Linked DNA regions of Mus musculus. The protein of the gene in region 2 purifies or fractionates together with the protein of the main gene of each other region. This does not show direct contact. Links are inferred from orthologs where the notes say so. Each region holds a gene or a part of one and is shown on either strand. Other genes may lie near its edges.

Region 1 (3,517 bases), about 27 Mb from region 2:
CGGATAACCCCCAGGCACCCCCACCTTGCCGGGCTGTGTATTCGTTGTCTTCTATGAGCCGGGCCAACCCAAAGTCGGCCACTTTGCACACCAGGTTCTCCCCTACTAGGATATTGGCGGCTCGAAGGTCCCGGTGCACATAGTTCATCCGCTCCACATAGGCCATGCCTGAAGCGATCTGTGGAGACAGAGAGCCTGGCTCAGGGGCTAACCCACACCCGTCCCAGTGCTGTAAGCCGGTGTCTCGGGCTGGTTATTCCTGATAGAAGGATAGAAGGATGCCCAAACACCCTGCCCACCTCGTGTCTTTTCAAGCAAGGAACTTCATTCAGCTTATAATAAACAGCACTGGCTTGAAAAGGTAGACCAAAGCTCAGGGGGAGAGGGGACAGCAAAGGGCAATGGGAGGTCACAATAAGACACAGCCAGGCGGGCAGGCGAGTATATACAAAAGAGGCCCCAGATGACCCATAGACACAGATGCGTGCCAGGTCCTGCCTGTTGTCCCAAGACCCCTCTCTGTCCCTCGGTTTCCTCATCTAGCAAATGGAAGTAATAAATTTTAAACTTTTAATATTTTATTTTTATTCTTAATTATGTGTATGTGCCTCTGATTCCCAGATGTGGCGTACCACCCCAGGCGCCTGCCAGGTGAGAGTCTGGTGTAATGAAAGCAGGCATCCTGAAGGGGGCGCACTGAGCCCGAGAGCCAAAGGTGTAGGAAGGTGGAAGAGGAGACTCACCTGAGCAGACATGTCCACCAGCTGGGGTAGCCGCAAATATTTGCCCGTTTCCCCCTTGAGAAAGTCCAGCAGACTCCCTGGAGAGAGAGATCCAGCTCTAGCCTTGCCTGGGTCTCCCTGTGCAGGAAACTGTGGCTTCCAGACCCTGGCCAGGGCTGCTCAAAGGCCAAGACTCCAGGGAGCTAGATCAAGGAATGCTACTGGGCCCTTGGAGTAAGTGGGGTAGGGAGGAGGTCAGGCAGACACAACAGGGGGTTATAAGATGCAAAAGATCATGTGCAAAGCCCAAGACAAACAGGTTTATCAGGACCAAACCCGGCTAGCCAGTGGCTGCCTGAGGCTGAAGCTGGATGGAGAGTCACAGCACTAAGGACAGCAGGGAACTCTGGGGTAGGTAATGTGGATGCTGTACATATATTTTTGTTTTGAGACAGGGTCTCAAGCAACCCAACTCTATAGGCTGACCTTGAACTCCTGACCCTCCTACCTCTATCTCCCCGGTGCCGGGATTGCAGGTGTGTGCCTAATTCTTGCAGTACTGGGGATCAAACCTAAGACCAAACCCAGGGCCTTGTGCAAGCTAGGAAAGCACTCTACCAACCCAGCTACAACCTCAGCCCCACACTGCTGCTTACCAAGACAGAGACAGTCCTGCTATGTACCCAGCCTGGCCTCAAACTCACGATCTCCTGCTTCAACCCCCGGGCACTGAGATTACAGGTGTGTGCCACCAAACCAGCAACAACAGGGATCGTGACAGTGGGAAAGGACAAAAGAAGCCGTCTTTTAGAAAAAAACCCACTAGATTTGTTATTATTTACAAAAGGAGAGAGGCAGTCAGTCCCTGATGTAGCGTACACTCATTGGGGTGGTCTGGGGTAAGGAGTAAGTTGCCCTTGGCCCGCCCTGCGTGGGCACCTGAAAAGGTCACCCCGGGCTCAGACCTTACCCTTGTTCATGTACTCTGTCACAATGTAAATGGGTTCTTCCGACACCACAGCATACAGCTGCACCAGTTTCTCGTGCCTCAGTTTCTTCATGACTTGGGCCTCCTGCAGGAAGGCCTCTGGGGACATGGTGCCTGGCTTCAGAGTTTTGATGGCAACCCTCGTGGTGCCGTTCCAGGTCCCTGTCGGGGAGAGACGTGGGAACATGAGCACAGGCTATCATTCTGCTGCACTGGGGCCACCCAGGCGAGTCCACACAAGTGCCTGTCTCAATCTCTGCCTCTGAACTCAGGGCATGGGCTTTGGGCAAGGCCAGATACCACGCTGAGACTCTCCATTCACACTTATTAAATAGGCTCAGGGAATGGAGACCCCTCCCAGGGCTGTGAACTGTGTGTCTGGAGCCTGCTCACAATGTGACTGCTACTAGGATGTTGACTGCTTAGGACAGGACAGGAAGCCGAACAGCAGCCTGATGGGTGGGTAGTCAGTACCCGAGGCACCAGCAACCACAGCACGGGTCAGAGGAGGGAGAGGGCTGTGTCTGGGGTCACTGGGGGCAAGAGGTCAGCTCAGTGCCTGTGCTGCATTAGGCAGGGAGACCTCCCTGTCACAGAGACAGGTCAGAGGGTAGACTGGGTCAGCTCTCTAGCTGTGTCGGGTCAGGCCGGATGCCCTGATTCCCGGTGGTTGCTGGTCTGCGCAGAGCTCCAGGGAAAGGTGGGAAGCCCTCAGATTCCCACCACACACCAAGAATCATAGATGAGGTTGAGAAAGACCAAGGCCGTGGCTCACTCAGGCTCTACCCAAACCCTCCTTTTGGTCTCACCTTAAAAGCTGGCTTCTCCCTCTGACCTTCCTCCTCACAACCCAAGACTTCCCTTGCCTACCTGACCCGGCCCCTCCAGTGCCCTCTGAAAGGAAGATGGTGAAACGGCAACAGCCACTACAGCCCCATAGTCCCCCTCTACTCGTGGGTACCCGGGTAGAAGCAGCCATAGCAGGGAGCCTGGGTTTGGCTAAGGCAGCTCGATGCTCCAGGAGCCTCTCGATGGCTGCACAATTAGACAGGAAACCGAACACTGACTTCCCACCACTCCCTCCGCACGGCACAGCGCTGTCTCTTTCTGTGCTGAACTAATATGCAGATGCCCCTTGAAGCTTGGCATCAGCCCCTTCTTCACATCGGGAGGCTGAGGCTTGGCGTGAGACCTGACCACACTCACTCAGGCCCTTGAGGACCGTGGTGCCCAGTCCCCAGGTGCGGCTGGTACACAGATGCCCTAGTCTTCATCTTCAGCAGCATGGGTTACAAGGAGTCAGGAGCCCACCTCAGTGCTGACCCTGGTGAGTCATAGCGTGGGGTGGGGGGCAGGGAGTGGGGTGAGGGACTGGAAGTGAGCCAAGTATGTTACATGCGGGGTTCAAAGTGTCACAGGAAAACAATTGTAACAAGTGTAACAATTTGTACAGTTAATGTTCAACAATAAAATGAAAAACAGCCCAGTTGTTCAGTAGAGACAATTAAAGAGAGGGACTCAGGGTCTTTGAGCTGGGATGGGGACAGGGGCGTGTGTTCCTTACCCATCCACACCTCTCCGAAGCAACCCTGGCCCAGCTTGACCTCCAGCCGCAGGGACTCCCGGGGGATCTCCCACGCATCCTTGGCCAATCCCTGGGTCTGAGGCTTGGATGTGGGACATACGGTAGTGAGGCGGTGACACAGGCCATCAGCATGTTCTGGAGATGGAGGCAGGGAATGGGGCTCAGGCAGGGTCCCACAGCAAGCTGGCTTCCCTGCCCTGTGTGTACGGCTCTATGTATCAT
Region 2 (3,540 bases):
AAGCCCAGTACTCCTATTAAAGATGGTAGAGAATCCCAAATCTTAAACAGCACTGCAGTAGAAATAACAGGACACCCAAACCTGAGAGAGAGAGAGAGAGAGAGAGAGAGAGAGAGAGAATAGCCCTCATAGGGTCATATATTTGAATATTTGGTCTCCAGGTACTGGAGGAAGTGTATCACTGGGGCTGAGCTCTGAAGGTTCTAAAGCCCACGTCCTTCCCAGGCTCTGTCTGTAAGCTCTAAGGTACTGCTTCAGCACCATGACTGCCTGCCTGCTGCCATGCTCCACCATGGTGGTCACAGACCCACCCTCTGAAACCCTGAGTCTCAGATTTACTTTCTTCTATGAGTTGCCCTGGTCAAGGTACTTTATCACAGCAACAGAACAGAGATTAATATACTGTGCCTCAAAAACAAGCCGAAAGGAGAGCCCTAACTCTCGAACAGTAGTGTGCTGTGGCATGTGTGTGCCCACACGTAACACCCATAAATAAATACAACTCCGGAAGAACATTTAAAACTTATTCTGGACAGAAACTAGAGAGGCCAAAATGGCCTCAGCTCAAGCCTGCAGCAGCTCCTCTGTCCCTGGTGTCTCTTTCTGTAGAGAAACTCAGTGAGACCCTTGCTGTCTGTCCCAGGGAGCAAAGCTGGGTGGGTGGCTGGGATAATTATACTTGATAGAAAAGAGGACCTGGAAGACACCAGCCAACAGCAGGGCTAGGAACAACCCAGGAGAGCCCCAGCTTCATAAGACTGCTCTGCCCAAGACAAAGGGACCGATATTTCCTCAGGGAATCAAGAGTGTTTATTACCTGACGATCCCTGCTGTGGTGCCAGAGAGGCGCTCTGGTCTCATTACTCCCCATGCCTGAGGTGGCTGATCTTGGTGGGAGATGAGGGTGGACTGGAGAGGGGAGGGATATTTACAGGACAGGGAGGGGAAGAGGCCTGCCTGGGGACAGGGAGACAACCATTTCCTCAAGAGCTCTGAGAACTTTGTGCTTTGTTTTAGTTGGCACTGAGCTACCTGGAATGAGTCTTAGGTTTATCTTCTTTAGGAAAAGATATTTGAAGCAAGGAACAATCTGGCCCAGTTTCCAGGCTGAGGATTTCATTATATCAACCCAAATATCACACTATTTAATTTCCCAATAAAACACTGGAAAAGGACTATCAGTGCTAACACATTTACATACAAAATCTCCACCTAACAGGTAATAGAAGCCTATGTGCCATTTCTAAAACAGTTATAAGATATATACAATTTTGGGTATATTAACAAAAACAGAATATTACAAAATATTAAAGGCAATTCTCCTGTCTGTGGGCCTTGTCACCTGTCACTTGAAGTTGGCATAATCTGAAAAGGCGTCAATGTACTCCTGTACCACCTTGTAGCAGAATTCATACTGTTCCTGGAACACAGGCAGAGGCAGGAAAAACCAGTTAACAGAGGATTGCTGAAGCCCCTGCCCCCTTTCTAAAAGACATGTCACTCTGTATCCTTGGCTGGCCTGGAACTCCCTATATAGACCAGGCTATCTTAGAACTCTCTTAGACCTGCCTACTTCAGCCTCCTGAGTGCTGGGAATAAAGGTGTGCACCACCATGCTGGCTTAGCAGACCCAGTTTTTAAAGTGGAAAATGGGGAGGAAAAAGGATGTTTTTGGACTATAGTAGATCTTCTACAGGCAGGGCTGACCAGACATGTGAGGGCAGTCCAAGGTCCTGCAGGTCAGATGTAGGTGTGCCAGGCTGAACACATGGCATCTAGGGTGGTACTCAGCTTGCCCAGGCTGCTAGGCTGACATGAATCCTAACATCCAAAGCTTTATCTCCTCTCAAATCTCCTAAAACTAACATTTCCCCTCAAACCTTTCTAACTTAACAAGATTCGGGAAAACCTTTGTGGATACAGAGACTGTCAAGAGTCAGACTTCTGAACAGGAAAGCCAAGCAAAATTAAGGTAGGCACTTCTGTTCACTCCTTACCAGAACTCAAAGTAGAGTGTATGTGTGTGACGTATGTGGGTGATATTTGGATACGTAGGAAGTCTTCAATTGCTCTCTATCCATTCCCTGGAGAGAGGGTTTCTTACTGAACCAGAAGATGGCTGTTTCAGCTAGACTGGCTTGTTCAGTGAGCTCTTGGGATCTGCTGTGCCCTCAATATTGGGGTTACAGGTGCATACACCCCATCTAGTTTTGTATATAGGTATTGGGGGGGGGTCTGAACTCAAATTTTTTGTGCTTTCAAAGCAAGTCCTGTTACCCACTGAACTATCTCCCAGCTCCCAGGGACTTCCTTCTAATCTCTTCTATTTCTTCTGGTTATTCTTCTGCTGTGTTCCCACTCTGGCCCTGCTTCCCAAGACACTCCCTGTCTTTTGAGTCTGCGGAGCTCCCTGAAGGCTTGCTCCTGACAGGGAAGAGCTACGGATAGTGTACCGACACAGGTAAAGACATGGAAGCTTACCAGTGTCTGGACCATGTGTGGCCTCTGCAGCCGCAGGCTCTTGACAGTTTGGAAGACATCTAAAATTCCTTCTGCTTTCACACGTTCCAGGACTGTGCTCAAGGCACAGAAGGTTCCTGTCCGTCCTGCCCCGGCACTGAAACAGAGCAGATACACTTACCACACCTGCTGCCTGAAGCTGTCCATTCTGAGGGGTGAGTTTGCTGAGGAGGAGCAGGCTGAGGCTGACTCTGGGAAGGTATCAGTGGGACAGGACACCCGTGCTCACCTCTGCTGCCCTTCCTGTGTGCACTGAGCATGTGCCTGTGGGACCACTGTGACAACTTTTACACACCCTGCCAGCCTGACTCCTTGCTGTCTGCACACGATGACTAGTTGTCTCCACCAGCTCTGACTCAAACTTTCTGCGCTGGTGCTTTGCTGACTTCTTTCCATTCTTTCTAAGGAATCCAAACTTCCCTCTTGACATGATCCATTTTGACCAGTATTACCAGTTGATTCCCTTAGGGAACACTAAGTACCTGTTCCATGGCAGGACGCTCAGGACAGGCTCTCTGAAGGGATGCTGTGTGCAGACACCAACGTGGCTGCTCTCTGAAACAAGTTCTAAGGGGGAGGGGGTGCGGACAAAGTGTGTACCTGGATTTGGTACATAAGGAAAGGGAGATCGGTAGCTTTGAGATCAGAGCCCAGGAGAATGCTGGGGACACTTAGCTCACTGGCCTGGCGAGGAGACCTCACATCACACTGTGCCCTGTTGGGATTCTAGTTTGGAGTGGGCCAGTCTTACTGATTTCTTTTGTAAAAATGTGCAGGCTGCAGGGTGTGGGGCATGCATAAGCCATAGAGTACACACGGAGGTTAGGAGACAACCTTTGGAAGTCGGTTGTTGAGGCAGACACTTGGTTTTTCCCACTGCATAGTTAACACCATGATAGTTGGCCCGAGAGCTTCTGGCCACCTCTTCTGCCTCAGCCTCCCATCTCACTGTTGGAGGGCTGGCATCAGAGTGCTGGGGTTCCACATCTGGCTTTTTATGTGGGTCCTGGGGATAAGACT

Evidence for each region. Proteins that work in one complex are often made in the same cells at the same time.
Region 1: the proteins of Ptpra (region 2) and Src purify together in Homo sapiens (co-immunoprecipitation; 4 studies listed by BioGRID and IntAct, with this or other methods). This does not show direct contact. The link is inferred for Mus musculus from reciprocal best matches to the Homo sapiens genes PTPRA and SRC.

The regions. Positions count from the first base shown.
Region 1 is NC_000068.7:157,465,786-157,469,302, reverse strand, and holds part of Src (neuronal proto-oncogene tyrosine-protein kinase Src), read right to left. Parts: intron 3,431-3,517; coding exon 3,275-3,430; intron 1,873-3,274; coding exon 1,693-1,872; intron 821-1,692; coding exon 744-820; intron 179-743; coding exon 25-178; intron 1-24. UniProt on the Homo sapiens protein: Non-receptor protein tyrosine kinase which is activated following engagement of many different classes of cellular receptors including immune response receptors, integrins and other adhesion receptors, receptor protein tyrosine kinases, G protein-coupled receptors as well as cytokine receptors.
Region 2 is NC_000068.7:130,551,274-130,554,813, reverse strand, and holds the end of Ptpra (receptor-type tyrosine-protein phosphatase alpha isoform 2 precursor), read right to left. Parts: intron 2,676-3,540; exon of another isoform or gene 2,618-2,675; coding exon 2,482-2,617; intron 2,462-2,481; exon of another isoform or gene 2,379-2,461; intron 1,973-2,378; exon of another isoform or gene 1,898-1,972; intron 1,421-1,897; coding exon 1,346-1,420; 3' UTR 514-1,345; downstream 1-513. UniProt on the Homo sapiens protein: Tyrosine protein phosphatase which is involved in integrin-mediated focal adhesion formation.